Linked DNA regions of Caenorhabditis elegans. The protein of the gene in region 1 interacts with the protein of each later gene in a pairwise test. Each region holds a gene or a part of one and is shown in the gene's direction. Other genes may lie near its edges. The genes, in order: brd-1, ubc-9 and tac-1.

Region 1 (8,847 bases):
TACCTTAATCCACACAGAGATCTGCTTCTTTCCAAGATTTGAAAGTAGGGCGGTCGTAAGGCCGGTACCACAGGCCTTGTCCACATTTCCGCACTTTTCGAGCTCTTTCAGAGCAGTATAGGCTTCTTCATCACGAAGTTCAGAAAGTTTGGATTGGATGAATGCAGCGAAGTCATCCACCTGTAAAATGAAGATATTATTTTGAAATGTGTTTTTTTTTTGTTGTTAAAAGTAAATTTAATTTCCTAGCTAAGCCAGTATCGAAATTTTCTTTAGTTTAAAATCTTTGTTCGAATGTATACTTTTAATAATATTATTCAATATTTTCGTGTTAAAAAGTTCGAATGATAATCAATTTTCAACATTCCTGTCTCTCAAATATCGCTGCAATCTCTCATAAATCTAACATTCTAAATCTAACTCGTAATCCAAATAAAACAATATGTATGGATATAATGAGGTCGTCGTTAATGTGTCATCATCTTATAGAAAGAACTATCTGTATTACACCCAGAATCCCGTTACTTTACACAGTTCATTGTGGTATTCAATGAACAATGCTTCTTCTTTTTCTTCTTTCTTTCATCTATTTCTCATCTTTTTGTTGAACTACGTATTAGTTTTTCATCACTTTGGCAATACTAAATTTGGAACTCAAAATGACAAAATGCTCAATTATTATCGGAATTTTTCTGATCGCGGCAATCAATGGACAAGCGTCTAAAAGGCGGATTCAGTACGAATCGGTTTCACAGTTTTTGTTTCATAACTCTAAATTATGTAAGTTAGAAAATCAATTTAAATTCAAATTTAATCTGTATTATGTAATAACACAAAAGAATAATCTTATAGTATATTTCAGAAATGTTGTAAACGATTTCTGAATTAATTCTTCATAATTTACCAGCATACATTTTTAAGATACAAGAAATTAAATATTGTTCCAACACTTTTTTTACAGGCGGTGATCCATTTTCTGATGCTGTCTGGCTTCCTGTACTCGATTTATGTTCTATCGAGTGTGAAATAACATCCGAATATTGTGTGGAAAATGAGGAACTTACACAACAATGCAAGAAATGTATGTTTTCGATGTTTAGAAGAAAGCTTGAGTTTTAAAAAATCTTTTTTCAGTACCGGAAGATTGCCAGGCTCTTCTCCGAAAAGCAATCAAACAAATTCAGAGACATATTCGATCACAAAAGCCAGTTTACCTTTAGATAATTTCTATCTCACTAATTTTTGTAAATTTGAACAATAAAGACTCTTGAATATTACCTTTTTACTCATCAATCTGAATTGTCCTTTTCCACGTGTAGCGGTCTCCATTCGATTCAAAACTTCTTTAGTAAATACTACAACAATTGATTTCACATCGCCTCCAAAATCAAAGAATTGAGTGACAATCGTGAGAATTCTATCGAAAACTTTCGTCTCGTTGCTTGAAAGGGCCCATGGCTCGAGAACTTCTGAAAATGAGAATTTATAAAAAAAACTTTTCAAAAGTATAACTTACTCAGGTACATTTTATCAAAACCAGATGATTCAACTGATGCTTTGATGAGAAGTGGAAGAAATACTTGAACTGTGGCGAAGTCACAGCGCTGAAAATAAAGTATTTATAAAAATTTTAAAATAGAAAACTAACCTTTAAAGCAGCCAAAATTTTAGGATACTGATCATCAGAAAATTGAATAGATCCGTCTTTCTTTACAAACTTTGCGTATTTTGCAACCACTGTTGAATGAGAATTACGAAGGCGAAGTGCCAGGTAGACATTTTCCGGTGTGAACTGAGAGCTGAGACCTTCCAAATTCATTTCGATGGCTGGGGATACACTCTGAAATTTAAAAATTAATATAGATTTGTTTTTGTTCAAACAGTAAATTGATTTACCTTTTGGAAAACACTTTCTTTTGTCTTTGTAGCCAAACTGCATAGAAGGTTAATCTGTGAAAATGCCAAGCTTGGAGCAAAGTCTCTGATTTTCTTCGAATGCTCAACAATTTTTGTAGCTTCTGCTTCTTTGAGTTTTCTGGTTTGACAATATGTGACAAGAATAAGATAATGTCCAATTGCATGTCCGGTACCAACAGTCTGAATCGAAACATTTAGTACAAATAAAGGAACTTACAATCCCAACCTTTTCTGCCAGGTCCATCTTTTTATCTGCAACGGCCAATATTTTGTCGAGTTCCCATGATTCGCCTGCTTTTGTCATTAAAATAGTACCCAAAGCGGTTGTATATCCCAAACGAACAGCAGCACGAGCTGAAGCACATCCAGAAATAAGACGTTCAATCACATATGTGTTGAGCTCGTTATCGGATAATTCCTAAAAAAATAACACTTTAATTAGGCATTTATTTCAGCTACTTTTTTCCTACCTCTTGTTTGCTTGAAAGCTGTCTAACTGCTCCTTTTCTGACTAATGGATCGAGCTCAGCAAGCTTTGAAATAATATCGAGTAATTCACTTGGCGGTCTCATGCTTAAAACTTAAAATTATAATTAAAAAGAGAATAAATTGACGAGAGGATCATTCTCGTGAATTTTCCAGACCAAGTAAACTGTATTTTTCTATAAAACACAAAAAATAAATGTAATTTTAGTTTAATGAAAGAAAAAGAAATAGAAGTAAAATATTTTGTTCGTAAAATAAAATGTATTCTGTGCGCACGCACCACACCTGACGCGCAAACAAACAAGTGCGATTTTCGAATTTTATTCTTTTCCTGTTTGATTTAATTATTGTTTCAGCGTCAAATAATGTTTGAAAACACTAAAAAAGCATTGGAAACGTTTCGAACAGCTATCGAGTGTGTTAAATGGTAAGTTGTTGTACAAGATTTTGCCTCTTAAATAAAATTTCAGCAAAAAACCGAGGGGAGACTTGCAATATCTCGGATCATCTTGCAAACATGCTTATTGCTGGTAGGTATTGCAACCTAATAAATTGTCAATAACTTCAGTTTATGTTCAGGGAATGTATCGCCACATTTCAACAGAAACCGTCTGGAAAACGCTCTTCAGTGGCTCGACACATGTGTCCGAGTTGTGCTTTCCCACTAGACACATCCAAAATCACAGAAGCTCATATGCTGAAAACGTGCTTTGATACTTTGTCTGAACTAAACGACCTTTTACAGAAAGTAAGTCAATGGTGAAAAGCTCGAAAATTAAATTCTCATTTAGGTCGGAACAACATCTCTAACTCAAGCAGAGTTTGCCTGTACACAAAACATTTTTAACAAAGAAAAAACTCCAGCTGATGCCGTAGAGAAATTCCTGGAGACGCAAGCTCATATGCCAGACGAGATGGGACAACTTGGTGAAGAGGATGATGATTTGATGTGTAAAGATGAAAACCGGTAAGTCGAAAAAATCTGCGTTCGGGGGGAATCGAACCCCCGTCGAATGCTTGGAAGGCATCCATGCTGACCATTACACCACGAACGCGACATATCGGGGATATCTTTCCGAGAAAACGATTCCCGTCATGCTTCTTCTACAAACCTGATGCGGTCTATTTGGTGGCTTCAAGTAGAAATGTCTCTTCATTTAATAGCTGGTTTCCCATGCCGCGTTCGTGGTGTAATGGTCAGCATGGATGCCTTCCAAGCATTCGACGGGGGTTCGATTCCCCCCGAACGCAGAACTTTTTTTCATATTTTCCCAGTAAATTCAGGGAAAATTCAAACTCTCCAGAATTGGATATATTCCACGACTACAGCAAAGAAGCTTCTCCGTGAGTTTGTTACATTGCTTCAATTAATTGAATTTTATTTACTTTTAGAACGCGTAATTCGACAAAACGCCCTTCAACTGTCAGTGTTCATGAGAGAAAACCCAAAAGGTCATCGATACTGAAAACTTCCGTCAAAAATGAACCGGCTGCGCCTGTAGTTGATCTTTTTGCATCGCAAGTTCCGCAGAGAACTCATCAAAATGATTTACTGACGCCGTTTATTGAGGTATGACAATTTCACTTTAAAGACGCTTCAGAACTTTAACGGAAATTCTTCAGCGTCGCTCAACTGCTCCAGCAGCAACTGGTGTTGCAACGTATGCTCAAGCTTTCGGAAGTAGCAGTAATCCAGTTAAAGCCGAAATTATCGAAGAAGATATTTTCTCGAAAGCGATTCCTCTCACAAAACGGCAAGCTTCAATGAGTGCGAGCGCCAAGAAACAACCAAAATTGGAACCTGAAGAACCAGAAGAAGTACCATCGACGTCTAGAAGTCGTAAAAATTCGATTAAATCCGATAAAATCGAACGACGATCTCAATCACCGATGAGTTTTGGAGAGAAGTCGATGAGTGTGAAATCAGAGCAAGTGAGTGACTTCAATAAAAGAGTTTTCGGGCGTTCGTCTTTCTACTCTGTCACGCTCAACGTCCACATTATCTTGTTGTCTGCGCCTCTGTCCCTTACTTAACAAGTCTTTGCATCACAGCACGCATGGCCTCCTTAGCTCAGTTGGTAGAGCGTGAGACTTTTAATCTTAAGGTCAGGGGTTCGAGTCCCCTAGGTGGCTTGACTTTTTTTTTTGAAAATTGAACTTGATCTCTACGCCTTCATTCCAATTTTCACATTTTCGCAAACTTTTTGCAATTTTTTAAATGTTCAGCGTCGCAGTTCTTATGGTACTCGTCGTGGTGAAGCTGTCCTGGTCAATTCAATTCGCAATAATCGTATTCCTCAACTTCGAAGTGCTGTAGAGGCAGGAACGTGCGTAAATGAGAAAGAAGACGGAAAGACACCACTTTACGTGGCAGTTGAGAATAGCTCATTGGAAGCTGTTAAGATACTTGTTGAAGCGGGTGCAGTTATTAATGCTTCATGTAAGAAACAACTTCTATCAACTTTCTTGACGAAGAATTCAGGCGGCTCAACATTAGAAACAACGCTTCACGAGGCTGTTCGCCGTCAAAATACTCAAATTGTTGAATATCTTTTATCGAAAGGTGCCAGCATCAAAATTCGAAATATTGCTGGAAAAACTGTCGAAGAAATGGCTAAAAGTGATCCGAAAATTAGGAAAATAATCGAAAAATTCAAGACTGAACAGAGAGTTTTACAGCCTGGTAAGAAATTTTTTGACAATTTTATTCTTCGTGATAAAAATTGAATTTTCAGTCGTCGCCCCTCCAAAATCTCGTCTTCATTTCGTTCAACTCATAGATGAGAAGATGCTCACTGAATCTGAAAAACGAAAACTTCCCGGAAAAATCAATGTAAAAACAATTAATTTTTAAAAATAAAATAAATTTATTCAGATAGTTCCTGCTGATATGGATTCTCCGACGCATGTGGTAGTCACCGTTGATTTGAAAACTCGTGTGCTCAATATTAACAAGGAGCATATTGGAGAAATTTTAAAAGCTATCATAAAGTAGGTTTTTAAAATTATCCTAAAAAGTGGGAGATAGTCATTTTGGGATTTTTAATGTCAGAAAATAGACCGTAATGACAGACTATAGCTGTTAAGAAATTAATTTTTTCGAAATTTTTCAAAAAATGGGCTACTTATTTTTAAATTCTCGCGCAAATAAATGGAAGGCATTTGTTCGTAAGAAAACGCATGATAATCAGAAAGAAATTCGCTGAAACTTCAAAATTGAATTGAAAGTCGATAATTTCACATTTATTCATCTTTTTTTTTGCTTAAAAAATTTATGAAAATCTGACAATCTTCGGAACATCAAGCAAAAATCACGAAAAGCGTTCGAATTTAGCCATTCATTTGCACGAGAGTTCAAAACTAATCAGAACTTATTATTTTTCCAAAGCTGAAATAATTTTTTAACAGTTATATTCGGTAATTATGGTCTATTTTCTATCATTCCTTCAAATCAGGTCGCAATGCATTACATATTTATTGGAGATAAAAAGATAATTAGGCACGAACACAGGCTCCTGCCACACATTTTTTTCCAACTGGACAGTCAAAAGTACAAGGTTCATCAGCATTTTCGTCAGTGATAACAACTCCACCACTTGCATGATTTGAAAAAAGACATTGTCCATAAACACAAAGCCTATTATCCGAGCAATCCGAATCAGTTCGACATTCTGCTTTCTTTGCATTAACATAAATTGAAAGAAGAAGAAGAAGGAAACACTGCAAAATTAGTTTTGAATATTAGCAAAAGTAGTATATAACTCACCAGAAACACCTTCATTTCAGTTTCACAGTGGCTCGATTGTATTATAAAATGCGTTTCCCTGTCTAGTTATAGACTGATCCCATGGGAAAATTGCAAACAATCGCAAGGGTGCAGTATGAGAGCCAAAAAAATCTATGTGAAAATATGAAATTTCAAAGCGGAAATTCATACTTTCAGATCGGGAATGATAGTTAGTCGAGATTGGCTGAGAGCGTGCATTATTGATCCATCGAAAGTCGATGATGATCGTTCTTATATGGTTCAGAAAGTTAGATGGATGGAAGGTGAAGTATTTGAAAATACTATTGAACAATGGAAGAAGACAATCACTAAAATGGTACGGATTTGATTTCCACTAAAGAAAAAAATACAACCAAATTTTTCAGCAACCAAAATTGTTCGCCGGTTGCAAATTTTTCATTCCAAAGCCAAAGTATAACTTCCTCGGTACGATTCTAATTTACAGTATTTTAATTTTTTCAATTTTCAATTTCAGATCGCCCAGCTCTTTTTGAAATTATTCGATCTGCCGGTGGTCAAGCTGCAGCGAGGGAGCCCATTATTGACGAAAAAGATCCACCGCCGTACCATAATGCCAACTTGAAACCAAACTTTGTGCTCTACAGCTTGACACATGATGTAAGTTTAACGAAGGAGTTTTCCTGTTATTATGGATTCGGTAGTTTCAGTTTGGTGACATTTTTATTTCTCTTTACAGATAGGAGACAAATTCCGCGACTGCACAAAGTACAATCTTGTCAGCGAGCAGTGGTTAATAGAGGCGATTCTTGGATGCTCCATCACAACACCACCACATTAACCATTTTCCGTTTTAAAATATTTTCTTTTGCGTTTCTATTGTAAAATTGCAATATGAATGATTATTTTTTGAAGTGTTATTTTATACACAACGGCATCCAATCCATGCAATTAAAGTTATGATGTAATTAAAATCGAGAACAAGATATAAATATAAGTTATGAGATCATATTAATTAAAAACAATTTACCGGCTTAAAACAAGAAAATTACAATTGAGTTATACAATTTACAATGATACAATTTACATTAAGAAGAATCTACACCATTCGTTTCCTGTACCTTTAATTTTCTTTTTTGATATTTGTTAACGGCAGTGACTGGACGAGTCTCATTATATTTCCGTTGATAAATAAAACAAGCATTACATTGAATTCCTTCCTTTGATCGAATATTCCTCCAACGAATTGTTTCAGTTACTGAACAATTTGAGCATTGAAATGACTTCTTATTATCAGAATTGCTCGGTGGAGTTGAACTTTGAGTAGAGGTAGATGGAGATGTAGATGGAGTAGAAAAATGAGTAAACGTGGTGAAATGGGAAGAATTAGGACTTCCAGTAGTTGGTGAAATATTTAAAGATGAAGAATCCATTGCAGTTGGATAATAAGAAGCATAAGTATTGACATAGTCATAGTAGTTATTATAATAAGAATAGTCAGTAGTGAAGGAGTATGTACCATTGAATGGAGTTGAATAATCATAGAATCCAACTTGTTGCTGGGTATTGTCAAAGACATTTTCAGCATTGAAAACTGGGTACGGATAAGCCATAGTGATAGAGAGAAGGAATAAAGTATGAATACTGACTCAAACTGATATTCTTTGGGCTCTTTTACTGTAGACCACACCCACTAGAAATGATGATAATGCTCTAAAAATCATCATGATGACAGAGGTGCAAGGTGGTCCTTCTTTACCTATTATCAGATAATGTAGGTGAAGATGGGCTCATTGTGCAATAGGTGGAGATGTTAACATTTCTCTAGGAAAGCAGGTGAAATCAGGACATGTTTCAGCCAACGTCTACAATATAAACCTTTTATGTATTTGTTTTCGGGCGGAACACAGCATGGCTTTTACTCGGAGAAAAGGAATCATATCAACGTGCCTCAAGTGTTGCGTGATTACTTGGAAATTGAGAATTGAATGGATAAATAAATTTTCCAAAACAATTTTGTATATGAATGAAGTGCTAAGGTTTTTTTAAAATTAAATTGCGTAAATGTTTTCAAGAGGGCCTACGCCTGCTTCATACCTACAGCAAGACTAAATTTGTTCGTTGTCATAATGAGATTTTTATAATCATCTAAAATGCTCTTCGAATTTGGGAATATTAGTGAATTCTAACAGTTTTACGTACTTTGGCATGTTTATTTTCTCACACTAACAAAAGTTTTATACAAGTATAAAAATATGATATAACAACTAAACAAATTTTTATTCGATGCAGAGAACATAGTTCAGATGAAGCAGAGGTGGAACACAGTAACCGTTTTTATACAAATATTTTTTGTCCCAGAGATTATGAAAATGAAGGGGGCTTTTCGTTGACAATTGAGTTTGAAACAAAACAAAAAGTTGAAATAAAATCTACACCCAAAAGGGAATCACATGTTTTCCTGTTCTACCAATATATTGAAATTCTTCATACCAATAGTAGTGCCAGAGGATGTAGTCAAAGAAATGATTGATTGATGTTCCAACGGCAAAATATAAAATCATCAGGTTCAGGTGAGCATTAACAGGATGGAACAGGGCAACCAGGAGCTGAAATATTTTAAGATTGCTCAGACTCCAGAATTTGAACTTTCCACCTAAAGGTAGTTCTGATATTTATCTAATAGATCAAAGAGTCTA
Region 2 (5,827 bases), on another chromosome or scaffold:
GACCAGTAGTTTTTTGAACGGTTTTTGAATAACAAGTTGAACTGTCGTCGCCCCTTGTTCTGACTTCAAGTACCTGTAACTTTTCTCAATTGAAAAAAAAGTTAATAAAATCTATGCCTTTTGCGCTTGTTTTTCAAAAACTTGTCACCTGTTTTCCAAAGGTTTCCATAGCGACCCTGCTTTCTAAAAGTTCTATGCTCCGATAACCTCATTATTTTTTGACAAACCTATATTTTTTTCAATCTTATTTTTCCCTACGACTTGATCAGCTTAATTCCTAACCAATACAATTTCAGAATGTCAGAAGAGACACTCGATTTCAGTGGGTCGATGCCTGAGGAGGTGCAAACTCTTCTCACAAATTCGGAGATGGATCCAGGACTTTTGTCGAATGAGACAGCAACCACGATGATCACAGATGTGATTAGTACAACCACAACCACATTGGGTAAGTTTTAGATTACCTAGTTTTGCCGACGCTGTGTTTTTCTTAACGGAAAATAGTCCTCTGTACGAGCTCGATGCATCGAATTTGACGTGCAAGTTTTATACCAACAGTATTGTTGACCGCGTTATTCAAGAACTGGAAGCCAGAAACTTTCAACAAAGTTTTTTCTAACTATTCAATTTTCAGCCCCCGTCCTTATCGGCTACCAACCTAACCCATTCCGCATTGGACTCCTCGCCTTCAAATGCCTGCTCATTATCCTAATCTTCACTTTATCCTGTACGATTCGTAAGGACTTCTTCAAGTTCTTCGTTCTCTTCCTTATCATCCCACTGTTTATCGAAGCTGGATTTGATATCTTCACCGAGATTCACGCCAGTACAGCGATCTTTGGGGCTCAGTGAGTTTGAGAAGCATTTCTTTGAACATATTCATTATTATTCAACTAGTTTTCAGACAGTTTGACTGGCAATACCTAAACCTTTCACCACGAGCGAACGACACTGTGACTGATTGGCAGAAGTGAGCTAATTTTAGATTTTACATTTGTCATACAACCAGTTTTCTATTTTTTAGGTATGCCGTCGACGGGTTCGGAGAGATCCTTCAAAAGTACACAACTTACCAGGTGTACACGTAAGATCGTTGAGTAGATCTAAAAGATTTTAATGACATAGATTCCAGGAAGGATCAACTCTTCTCGATCGTATCCTATGTCGCCGGTGATTTTATCTTCTGGAGTCTGCTCTTTTCGACTTACACGGTCTTTTTCTTCGCTCACAAGGCGATTGCACGTCCAGAGCAGATCACTTACGAGCCGATTGGGTAGGTTTGTTTTGCTAGGAAAGCTTCCACGATGTACAGGCGCTTAGGCATGCCTAGGCAGTCGCAATTTTTACCAGTTTTCTGGAGCACATCCCAGCTTGCTGGTGTGCTTCTCCATCTTTCTGGCACACTTCTCCTCCACTCAAAAGCAGTCAAACTTCTTTATAACGCACTTAATCCCCTTTTCTTACAAATAAAAAAAACAATTTAAAAAAAAACAATTTTCAGCAGTGTCTTCTTCAAGGCTCAAATCACTCCGGTAATCTTTACCGCCTTTGACACTCTCATCTCGATCTACCAAATTCCACAATGGGCTTATCTCAGCATCATTTCCAGCATCAGACTCACTGCGTGTATTGTCTCCTTCGGCATCGTCACCCAGATGTTCGCTGTGAGTTTCAGATGTCTTTCAGTACTAGAAGCATAGAATTGATTTCAGAGTCTCTTCTTATTCTGCAGAAGAAAGGACGAGGTGACGAAGACTTCTCCATATGAGCACGTGAGAAACAGCAAACTCCGTTTGTTCTTGTTCCTATTATTCAGTATCTGTGTTCATGTGCTTACGGCTCCTTATCTCAGTAAGTAACAGTTAGCAGACCTAGTGAAACCTTAGATCCTTTCAGTCTGGTCCGGATTGACCATCGCTTTTGACGTCGGTCAGCTTCTCGGCTTCAACTGGTACCTCCCAATGCACTTTGCTTCCGAGATGTTCCCACTTCATCTGACCTTCTTCTTGCTCAGACCCTTTATCTTCCTAATTCTGGCTCTGATCCTCCTCAACCCATACCGCCGTCGTTTTGTCAAATTCTTCTTCCCGTGTTGTAGAAGACATTAGGAACGATCTTTTATTTTTTTTCTGTAATTATTGCTTCCAACTCTTCTTTTTTGCGCCATAATTCTAAACCCCTGTGCCATTGGGCGCCCCCTCAGAAGCCCGGTGCTCCTTCGTTTTTTCTTTGTTTTGTTTTTTTTCAAATCGGAAATATCGCTCTCTCAGAAATTGTGATAAATAGTACACGTTTTACACGTTCCATATGTGCCTTGCCTTACAATTAAAAAATGAATAAATTTTTTTCAAATTTAAATCATTCTTATTTTTACGATGAGTTCGAAAAGTGGTGTTATAGAGTTTCCGGAAGACAAGTGAGTTTTTAATTTTTATTTATAAATTTAAATTTTTGACTCTTTGAAGCAAATTTGTGCATACAAATATGGCTGATTACACTACGGAATTGCTTGATGGTAGTGAGTCAACTACAAAGAGTACAGCAACAGACGAACCACCTAATCAATTGTTTTTGTCATCGTTGCTTTTCTTGAGCTCTGCGATTTGTTCTCTGTGAGCTCACTAGCTATTTTCTACAATTAAACAATAATGGAAAACCAAAATAAAATTTTATTCCAGATTCGCAGCTTCAATTCTAGTTCGTAGTTTTCCATTTTTCGGTTCTACTCTCTCTTTGGTGATCATTCTAGTAACTAGGTTGGCTTTGTTCATCAAGAAAAATAGATCTAATTGGAACATTTTCTAGAGAATGGAATAGGATATACGGTGGACTTTTGAGTCCAAATCTGAAAGCAACAATCAACTATTCGACCGTTATGAGAGATCACAGGTACATCTGAATTCTAGAAAATCACCTATTGTATATATATCCTATATATAGGCATATATTTTGACACTTAAAATAATTAAATTTCCAACTTTCTAATTCAGAGAATACATTCCGTTATACGACATGGACTGGTTGTTCGGAGGAAGATACAAGCCGTACTATTATGGATGCACGGGACCTTCGAACAATCCGGACATGGAGAGAACGCCTGATGAGTGAGAAAAAAGTTTTTTATTTTTTGAAAACGTTATCATTTTTGCAGCCCCGGAAGTCGTTCGCCGACGAAAGAGCGCAAGGAAGGAGAGGTTTTGAAGAAGGATGACTGACTGGGCACTCTCATTCTCACACATTTTGCCGCGAATAAATATTATTTGAATTTCGCGCCCTTCGAATTTATAATTTTCTTGAATATTCTTTTGTGTGCGCGCGAAAACTGCGAACCGTTTTGTAATTTTCTGTTGCATTCTGTCGAAATTAGTTTTCGTGTGCGACACCATTGCGAAATCGCGCGCCGCACTATGCAATTTATTGATCGATAATACGGGCGGTGCTCGCCCCCCTTTTCGTTTTTTGGCGCGATATCCTATTTTTGAACTTTTTCGAGAAATTTCTCTTTCTTATCGATCGGATTTCTGTTTGAAAAATCTAAAATAGTTCTGACAAGTGTCACGAACACGCTGTTTCGTTTGTTTACCTCTCTCTTCTTTTCTCGTTGTGCCTAAAACTTCACTGTCCACTTCTCTTTTACAAATTTGATATTTTTCAGTGTAACCGAACAAAAATGTCGGGAATTGCTGCAGGACGCCTCGCGGAAGAAAGGAAACACTGGCGAAAGGTGAGAATTTTATCATTACATGGCAAGTCGGGGCGATTTGTATTACAAAACCGCTTTAAATCGGTTAAATTCTAAAAATTATCGAAAAATAGTTTGTTTTCATGCCCAAAACTCAACATTTTCAGGATCATCCATTCGGATTCATTGCCAAACCAGTCAAGAACGCCGACGGAACATTGAACCTCTTCAATTGGGAATGTGCAATCCCAGGGAGAAAGGATACGATTTGGGAAGGCGGATTATACAGAGTATGTGAAGCTAGAATTCGGAAATTATCATTTTTCGTTAATTTATTGAGCTATAATATTCGTGAACTGTTTCTCTCAAAAACTGCTATTTGGAATACAACGATATTTATAAATCTAATTCAATTTTCTTTCAGATTCGGATGCTCTTCAAGGACGATTTCCCGTCAACGCCACCAAAGTGCAAGTTCGAGCCACCACTCTTCCATCCAAATGTGTACCCATCAGGTTATTATTGCAGTCCAATAGTTATAATTAATTAATTGAATTCAGGTACCGTGTGCTTATCTCTTCTGGATGAAAACAAGGATTGGAAGCCGTCAATCTCAATCAAGCAACTTCTCATTGGAATTCAAGATTTGCTGAACCATCCAAATATTGAAGATCCAGCTCAGGCTGAAGCCTATCAGATCTACTGTCAGAATAGGTGAGTTTTTTTTATCTGAATATTATAAAAAAAATACACAAATGAATTTATTACAGGGCTGAATATGAGAAGCGAGTGAAGAAGGAAGCTGTGAAGTATGCTGCCGAACTCGTCCAGAAGCAAATGCTCGAGTAGATGCTTGCTTCGTGGTAGTCGTCTATTCTATTCTCCTTTTTCCTCCCATCCTCATTTCATTTAGTTAACTATTTCTGTATGCGGCAACGATTGTTGACACAACTCGAAATTCGAGCACCGAAGCAACTTTTCTGATATCTTTTATTTCAATCTAACCAAAAGCTTTGTCGTGCCTGGTTTTTCATTTCGTGGTTGATGAAATTCGAGAGCTAGAACATTTCGATGACTTTTTCCAAATTTCGTGTGCACGCAAACCCAATCATTTTCCACTGGTCCATGGGCTGAGTAGTCTTTATTCTTTCAAAAGACTATTCCTCATCATTCTTACTCATTTTGATCTTCATCTTTCTTTTTATCCCGTTCTGTTTTCCATCTCTTTTCTCTTCCCCCCAATTCTCTTAAAATCAGGAGCACAATTTAATTGTTGACAAATCCCGTGTATTCCAATTTTCTAAATGGACTTGATTATATTTTTTTTCCCTCAACTTATTTGTATTTTGCAACTCAACCATGAACTGTTCATGTCAGATTCTCCAACAATGTCCGAATTCATGAAAGGTGTGATGCTTCTGAAGCAAGACTTGACTGAAGTTCCTGCCGAAGAAGCTCTGAAGGGCAAGGTGGCGAAATATTAGTGTGTAGTGAAAGATTTTAGAATATGACATTTAGGTTGTTGCTCTTTATTTTTCCGCGGGATGGTGTCCACCGTGTAAGCAGTTCACTCCGAAGCTAGTTGTGAGTGCTGAATCTAGATTTTCCGATTTTCCAATGAGTTTCCACACCCTTCAGCGCTTCTACCATCATCTGAAGAAGGCTGGAAAGCCCATCGAAGTGGTTTTCTTCTCTCGTGATAGATCAAAGGCTGATCTTGAAGAGAACTTCACCGAGAAGCACGGCGATTGGCTCTGCGTCAAGTATGGAGACGACATTTTGACGTGAGATTTATCATTTTTAATTTCAGAGTCTCAAAAATAAATCATAATTTTCAGACGATATCAATCAAAGTTCGAGATCAAGACGATCCCAGTGCTCCGAGTGATCAACGCAGCCGGCAAGATGGTCGTTGTGGATGGGAAGTCGGAGGTCGTCGACAAGGGAAAAGCCGACCCACAGGGACTCTTCGCTGCGTGGGAGGCAGCATGCAACAAGTGAAAATGTATATAATTATTTTCCATTTATTTAAACATTTATCTAGTAATTTTTTAAATAGATTTTTCCTACTAATAAATAATTAATTATCACGTAAATATTTATATTTTAATAGTTTTTCTCTAGGTTTGCCCGCCCTAGATTGTA
Region 3 (5,445 bases), on another chromosome or scaffold:
CCTGAGCACGCTGATCTCATGGCAAAGCGAGCTGTGTCGTGACGATACCGTTGGCTTCGTGCTGGATAAGAACGTCAGCGAGTATCGTGTCAGCTGCGTGTGGACGGGCTCCTCACAGCTTGGACAGTGCCGTGCGGTTCCGCCGAAGTACATGGCGGAAGTGTACAGCTTTATTGAGGAGGACGAGTGGGAAGAGAAGTTGCAGGTGGGGAAAGAGTTTTAGATTTTGAAGGTGGTGTAGTCGAATTTTTTTTTGCTTATTAGACTTGAAATTGTCTAAAAAACGAATTTCATAATTAAAATTCTTGAAAACTTCTCAAAAAAAGTTATGGCGGCTCAAAAAATTACTTAAAATTAGTAAAACTAGAAGTTCGACTTGCCAAACGGTTGGAAACTAACTTTTTTGAAATTACCGTCTAATTTTGGGTGTACAATAATTATCATGCGTTTTCAACTCGGTTTGAAAGGCCAGAAGACCTTAAATGTACCTAAATCGAGTTGAAAACGCAAGTTAATTAACTTATACATCCAAAATTAGACGACCATTTCAAAAAAGTTAGTTTCCAGCCGCTGACAAGTCAAATTTCAAATTTTAACGAATTTTATGTCATTTTTTTTGAGCCGTCATAACTTTTTTTTTTTGAGAAGTTTTCAAGAAGATTCATTAGGAGATTCGGCGTTTTAGACAATTCCAAGTCTAATAAAGCAATTTGTAGAAAATTCGCCTAGTTTAACCAATTTCTCACAGCTTTTCTCATTCAGAAAGTGCGAAACGCCATCGGATGTGACACCTCGGCAGCCGTCAACTTCCAGGAATTTGTAGAAATCAAGCCACCGAAAACGAATGGAGCTCATGGTGCATCGATTAGAAAATCCGGAGGAAAAACGAATACAACCGCAATTCGCTATGTGAAACGTCACAGAACATTGTCCGAATTCGTGATTTGCAATGATCGTTGTGTTCAGGGAGGAATCGGATATTCAGCCTCGTTGGTCATCATTTTGGCGTTGGCAATCTCGTTTTTTAAGAACTGTATTCAGGTCGAATAAATATGAGCTTTTTTTTGCGAAAATCTTTTTTGTTGTTTTTTAATTTTTTTTTTCTAAATTTTTGTCATGATTTTTTATATTTTGAAAACAAAAATAAAAAGGGCTAAACAGAAATATTATTAAATTTTAAATTCCCGCGCAAAGCGAGTGACGTCATTTTCGACATTTTTGCGTTTTTCCGGCTATTTTAATTGATATTTCTCTGTTTTATAACTTGAAACATAATTTGTGGATTTTTCAGACATTCTTTCGTAATGAAATTTGCTGAAAAATTGAAGAAAAATCAATTAAAGTCAGAGAACGCGAAAGTGACGTCACTTTTTTTACTCTGGAATTCAAAAAAAATCAGTTCTTTTGACCTTTTTTTTGGCCTGATTTTGGCTTTTTGGTCTTTTTGGCCTTTTTTGCGTTTTCCGACTGTTTTATCTGGTTTTTCTTTATTTTTCGTTATGTCACAATTTTAAACAAAATTTATAAAATTTTCAGAAATTTTTCCGTAAAAAACTTGTTGAAACTCTAAAATTAGCCTAAAATCGATAATTTAATTTTTGAAAAACGTTTTTTGTGGAAAAATGTCCGAAAAATTGACAAATTATGTTCCAAATTGTAAAAAATGGAAAAAAAATAAAAAAAACAGCCAGAAAACCAAATTCAAAAAATCAAAAAAAAATTAGAAAATTTTTATAAATTTTTTCACTGTTATATTCTGCCATTTAGAGCAAATTTTTAAAATTTTCAAAACTATTACCTTCGCCTTCGCCTGCCTCGCATGCTCAACTTTCGCCAGCTCCTGGCTCTTCACCTCGAAAACTATTTTATTCCGTTTTTCGAGTATATCTCCGGCTAATTCGAACAATTCGACGCCGAGAAGATCGATGAGCTCGCCCTGTAGATCCATATCGGAACGTGTCGAGCACAACATTTGTAGAAGGTTTTGGGATATTGTCTGAAGGAAAATAGGTTAGAAACTTGATTTTTTAGCCGAAAATCAACCTCAAACGTATCTGGAAAATATATAAGCAATGTGTCAGCAATCGGCTGAAAAATGCTCCCAGAGCCCGAGGTAGAAGGCACTTGGGGTAGGGAAAGAGCTTCTGGAGCTTCTGAAAAACCTTCTTGTTCAGCTTCACAATTCGACCATTCTAGAAATTCCGATGGAAATCGAATTTGAATTTCCTGGTGGAAGCTTGCTACCCGTGATGGTGAGGGTGGATCTGAAAAAACATCTGGTAAAAATTTTTTTAATAAAAAAATGGAAAAAAAGCTAACTAACCATCTCCAATTCGTTCGATATAGTTGAGAAGATCCATTTTGTACCTAGTTTGGCAGCTGTAAAATTAGAATTAAAATTAAAATGAAAAACTATATTTTTCAAGAGAGAAGGATGTTCAAACATTGTTCAAAATTTCGCAATTTTTGAAAAATCGATTTTTTTCTGAAGTTTTAAGTTTTAATTACTTTTAATTTCTATTTTGTTTAATTGCCAAATATTTTTGTTTTTTTCTCTGTTTTAAGGTGAAAATTAATAAAAATGAACAAAATAAGGTCCTGGCCGCTTCCCTTCTCTGACCTAGCGCTTTCTAGGCCAACTGCACTTTTATTTGGCGGTTTTTTATGCAAAAGTGTATTATATTAATTTTTTTCGCAATAAAGATGTGTTTTTAATCATTAAAATAGTTTAAAATGAAGAGAAACATTGAAAATTGAAAGATAACAAAAAATGTTTTTAAAAAAATTCTACAGTACTTTTTAAAGGCGCAGTCCAATTTTTGTATTGATTTTCCCGCCACGATTACTCTTGTGGACTCTTTTTTCGTGCTTTTTTTGTTGTTGGTTATGGTTTTTACTGATTTTTTTTGAATTAAAAATTAAAAAATGACTTTTTTAATTAAAAATTTGTTTCAATTATTTTGAAACCCTCTTGTAAAGCCTTGTAAAACAAGAAAATTGAACTACAGAAGTTTTAAAGGCGCATACTAATCTTCAAAACAATTTTCCTACCACGAAAATAAATGATGACGCGGGAAAACTGAAGAATCGTTAATTTTCTCCGTTTTTCACGAAAAATGTCGGTTTTTTCTATTAAATTCATCCGATTTTCAGATGTCGCTCAACACAACCTTCACCAAAGAGGACGGAACCGAGGTCGTCATCCCATTCAACGGGTCGCAAAATGGGCATCCGGAGAACGAGGAGCCAGAGGTTGAAGAAGCCGCGGAGCCCAGTTCTTCAGTGGAGACACTGTGCGGTGCCACGAGAGGCGACATCATTGTGATGAAGCACACGACGAAGGCGCTCACAGAGTTGATCGAGCGGCTCTTGCACTCGGATGGTGAGAAGCTTTGAAAAATTGCTAAAAGAGATTTTAAGAGGAATAAAACCATATTAATTTCAGAATTCGAAGTCCGTCGCTGCTCAAACGGCCAAATCATCTCACAAGGCCGCTGCAACGGAACAACGCCAGGAAACGGCATCGGAGGCGGCGGGGCATCAAGCGAGGAGCTCGAAAAAGCGCTGAAAGATCGAGATGCCGCCCGTGCCGAAGCCGACAAGCTCCACGCCAACTACGCGACACTGTTCGCCTCGTTCAACACGGTTCGCGAAGCCGCCAACGACATCCGCGGCGAGTACGAGGACGCGAGGGACAAGCTGAAGCTCGCCGCCGCCGAAGTTGACGAGTGGCAGGCAAAGTTCCTCGCCGTCAAGGATAATGCGAATTCTGAGCTTGAGAGGTGAGTGAGAGAAAATTTAATTTGCAACATGTAAGAATATATTTCAATTCAGAGCATCCGTGGAGTACGACGATCTTCTCCGATCCCACGATGAGAACACAAAGGGACTCCGTCTGCGTGTAAAACGCCAGGAAATCGAGCTCTCCAGCAAGAACGACGAGATCAAGGTGCTCACGAACCGCGTGTCGGAGCTCTCACAGATTTGCGATCAACTTCTGAATGATGTCGACGTTTCCGATGGGATGTCCGTTATTTCGACGGATGCATAATTTATTTCTGTAAAATATAATATTTCTTCCCCCCGCCTTTTCGCTTTCCGCCTTATATTTTCTAATTGTACATGAATTTTTCAGCTTATTTATTTGTTTTCCAGATTATTTGTATGAGAAACAAGTACAAAAGGCTTCGTTTCAGTATTTTACCGAGAAAAACTACAATCTTCTAAATTTTCGCGCCAAAGATACAGCGCCCGGTCTCGACACGAAAAACATTTGCCAAATGCAAGCATGTGTGCGCCTTTAAAGTGTACTGTAATTTCCAGGCCGAATTTGTTTTGATTTTTTTAGTTCTCACTTGTTTTTCCAAACAATTTATGCGTTGTTACGAGGTTTTTGTAATAAAAGTCAATAAAATTCCTACAGTAATCTTTAAAGGCGCACACCTCTTTTCAGACTGCCGCATGGATTTTGAGCGAATTTTTTGATTAAAATGTATGCAAAACTTTCAAAATTTCTATTAAAATCTTGCAATTTTCCAGATGAAAAAAGTGGAAATTCTGAAAACATCTCGGCCATCATCTGCAGGAGGCGCTGCCCGACCCTCCACAGCGAGCCCAACTCATGGAGCACCGAAAATCGCCATCAAAACACGTCCGGTGGCCGATGACGTGGCGCCTACCGCCGCTACGGTCATCGAGCCATCGCAAAAAGCGATGAAGGAGTCTGTGCGATTTTTGACGGATTTCGGAGAGATTTCCGATGCGATTTCAGTGTGTTTTTTATTTTAATAATTTATTATGGAGACGCAGAAAAATGGCTTCTTGAAATTGGAGACGTGAAAACGCGCTCCACCGAACTATGGGTCTCGTTAGGGTTTGCTCGTAAATTCAAATGCTTCCAAAATTTTAAAAATTAATTTGAAAAATGTTCAAGCATTTTTCGTACTTTTTCTCAATTTTGAAGCATTTTTTGTGTTTTTTCTCAATTTTGAAGCATTTTTTGTCAAATTTCTTAAGTTTTTTGTGCTTCTTGCTAATTTTAAAGCATTTTTCGTATTTTTTGTCAATTTTTTAAGCATTTTTCGTCCCTTTTGACAGTTTTCAAGCATTTATCATTTATAATTTCAACAAAAAATTTCAACACATTAAAAAAACAGAAGACGACGAAAAAAACGAAAAATGCTTGAAAATTGACAAAAAAAATTACAAAAATTGCTTGAAAATGTTAAACAAAAAACACGAAAAATTCTTGAAAATTGACAAAAAATTACAAAAAAATTCTTGAAAATGTAAAAAAAAACACGATAAATGCTTGAAAATTGAAGAAAGAAGCACGAAAACTACTTGAACATTGACACAAAAAAATTACAAAAATTGCTAGAAAATTGAAAAAAACATTACAAAAAATGCTTGAAAATCGACAAAAAAAGGTCGAAAAATCCTTGA

Evidence for each region.
Region 2: the proteins of brd-1 (region 1) and ubc-9 interact in binary tests that used the Caenorhabditis elegans proteins (3 or more experiments, as listed by UniProt).
Region 3: the proteins of brd-1 (region 1) and tac-1 interact in a two-hybrid assay, tested with the Caenorhabditis elegans proteins (2 studies listed by BioGRID).

Annotation. Positions count from the first base shown.
Region 1 is NC_003281.10:6,883,417-6,892,263, reverse strand, and holds brd-1 (BRCA1-associated RING domain protein 1), read left to right. Parts: upstream 1-2,759; 5' UTR 2,760-2,768; coding exon 2,769-2,830; intron 2,831-2,873; coding exon 2,874-2,933; intron 2,934-2,982; coding exon 2,983-3,151; intron 3,152-3,194; coding exon 3,195-3,370; intron 3,371-3,378; exon of another isoform or gene 3,379-3,461; intron 3,462-3,582; exon of another isoform or gene 3,583-3,673; intron 3,674-3,687; coding exon 3,688-3,747; intron 3,748-3,795; coding exon 3,796-3,973; intron 3,974-4,026; coding exon 4,027-4,335; intron 4,336-4,460; exon of another isoform or gene 4,461-4,548; intron 4,549-4,629; coding exon 4,630-4,843; intron 4,844-4,885; coding exon 4,886-5,086; intron 5,087-5,138; coding exon 5,139-5,236; intron 5,237-5,278; coding exon 5,279-5,394; intron 5,395-6,346; coding exon 6,347-6,506; intron 6,507-6,555; coding exon 6,556-6,616; intron 6,617-6,665; coding exon 6,666-6,808; intron 6,809-6,887; coding exon 6,888-6,989; 3' UTR 6,990-7,057; downstream 7,058-8,847. Other genes in the region: K04C2.5 (INSulin related), read left to right, coding at 660-780, 962-1,081, 1,135-1,220; K04C2.2 (DNA polymerase V), read right to left, coding at 4-180, 1,279-1,469, 1,517-1,604, 1,649-1,840, 1,897-2,097, 2,144-2,335, 2,388-2,489; med-2 (GATA-type domain-containing protein), read right to left, coding at 7,237-7,761; K04C2.7 (Polyprenol reductase), read right to left, coding at 8,581-8,757. UniProt on the Caenorhabditis elegans protein: Constituent of the CeBCD complex that possesses E3 ubiquitin-protein ligase activity.
Region 2 is NC_003282.8:4,647,389-4,653,215, forward strand, and holds ubc-9 (SUMO-conjugating enzyme UBC9), read left to right. Parts: upstream 1-3,655; 5' UTR 3,656-3,670; coding exon 3,671-3,724; intron 3,725-3,849; coding exon 3,850-3,972; intron 3,973-4,106; coding exon 4,107-4,197; intron 4,198-4,242; coding exon 4,243-4,396; intron 4,397-4,452; coding exon 4,453-4,531; 3' UTR 4,532-5,059; downstream 5,060-5,827. Other genes in the region: F29B9.8 (Serpentine Receptor, class T), read left to right, coding at 298-448, 635-848, 905-970, 1,025-1,084, 1,133-1,273, 1,502-1,664, 1,713-1,851, 1,897-2,108; F29B9.7 (Pheromone-regulated membrane protein 10), read left to right, coding at 2,376-2,416, 2,466-2,612, 2,679-2,756, 2,806-2,889, 2,991-3,104, 3,152-3,215; F29B9.5 (Thioredoxin domain-containing protein), read left to right, coding at 5,071-5,151, 5,201-5,266, 5,321-5,466, 5,521-5,683. UniProt on the Caenorhabditis elegans protein: Accepts the ubiquitin-like protein smo-1 from the aos-1-uba-2 E1 complex and catalyzes its covalent attachment to other proteins with the help of an E3 ligase such as gei-17.
Region 3 is NC_003280.10:14,751,584-14,757,028, reverse strand, and holds tac-1 (Transforming acid coiled-coil-containing protein 1), read left to right. Parts: upstream 1-3,151; 5' UTR 3,152-3,153; coding exon 3,154-3,382; intron 3,383-3,445; coding exon 3,446-3,782; intron 3,783-3,834; coding exon 3,835-4,051; 3' UTR 4,052-4,138; downstream 4,139-5,445. Other genes in the region: Y54E2A.5 (uncharacterized protein), read left to right, coding at 1-205, 763-1,050; Y54E2A.4 (Activating signal cointegrator 1 complex subunit 3), read right to left, coding at 1,799-1,996, 2,044-2,264, 2,324-2,360; smg-9 (Nonsense-mediated mRNA decay factor SMG9), read left to right, coding at 4,540-4,770. UniProt on the Caenorhabditis elegans protein: Involved in microtubule formation, polymerization and assembly, regulating microtubule nucleation and length. Plays a role in pronuclear migration and mitotic and meiotic spindle elongation during early embryogenesis.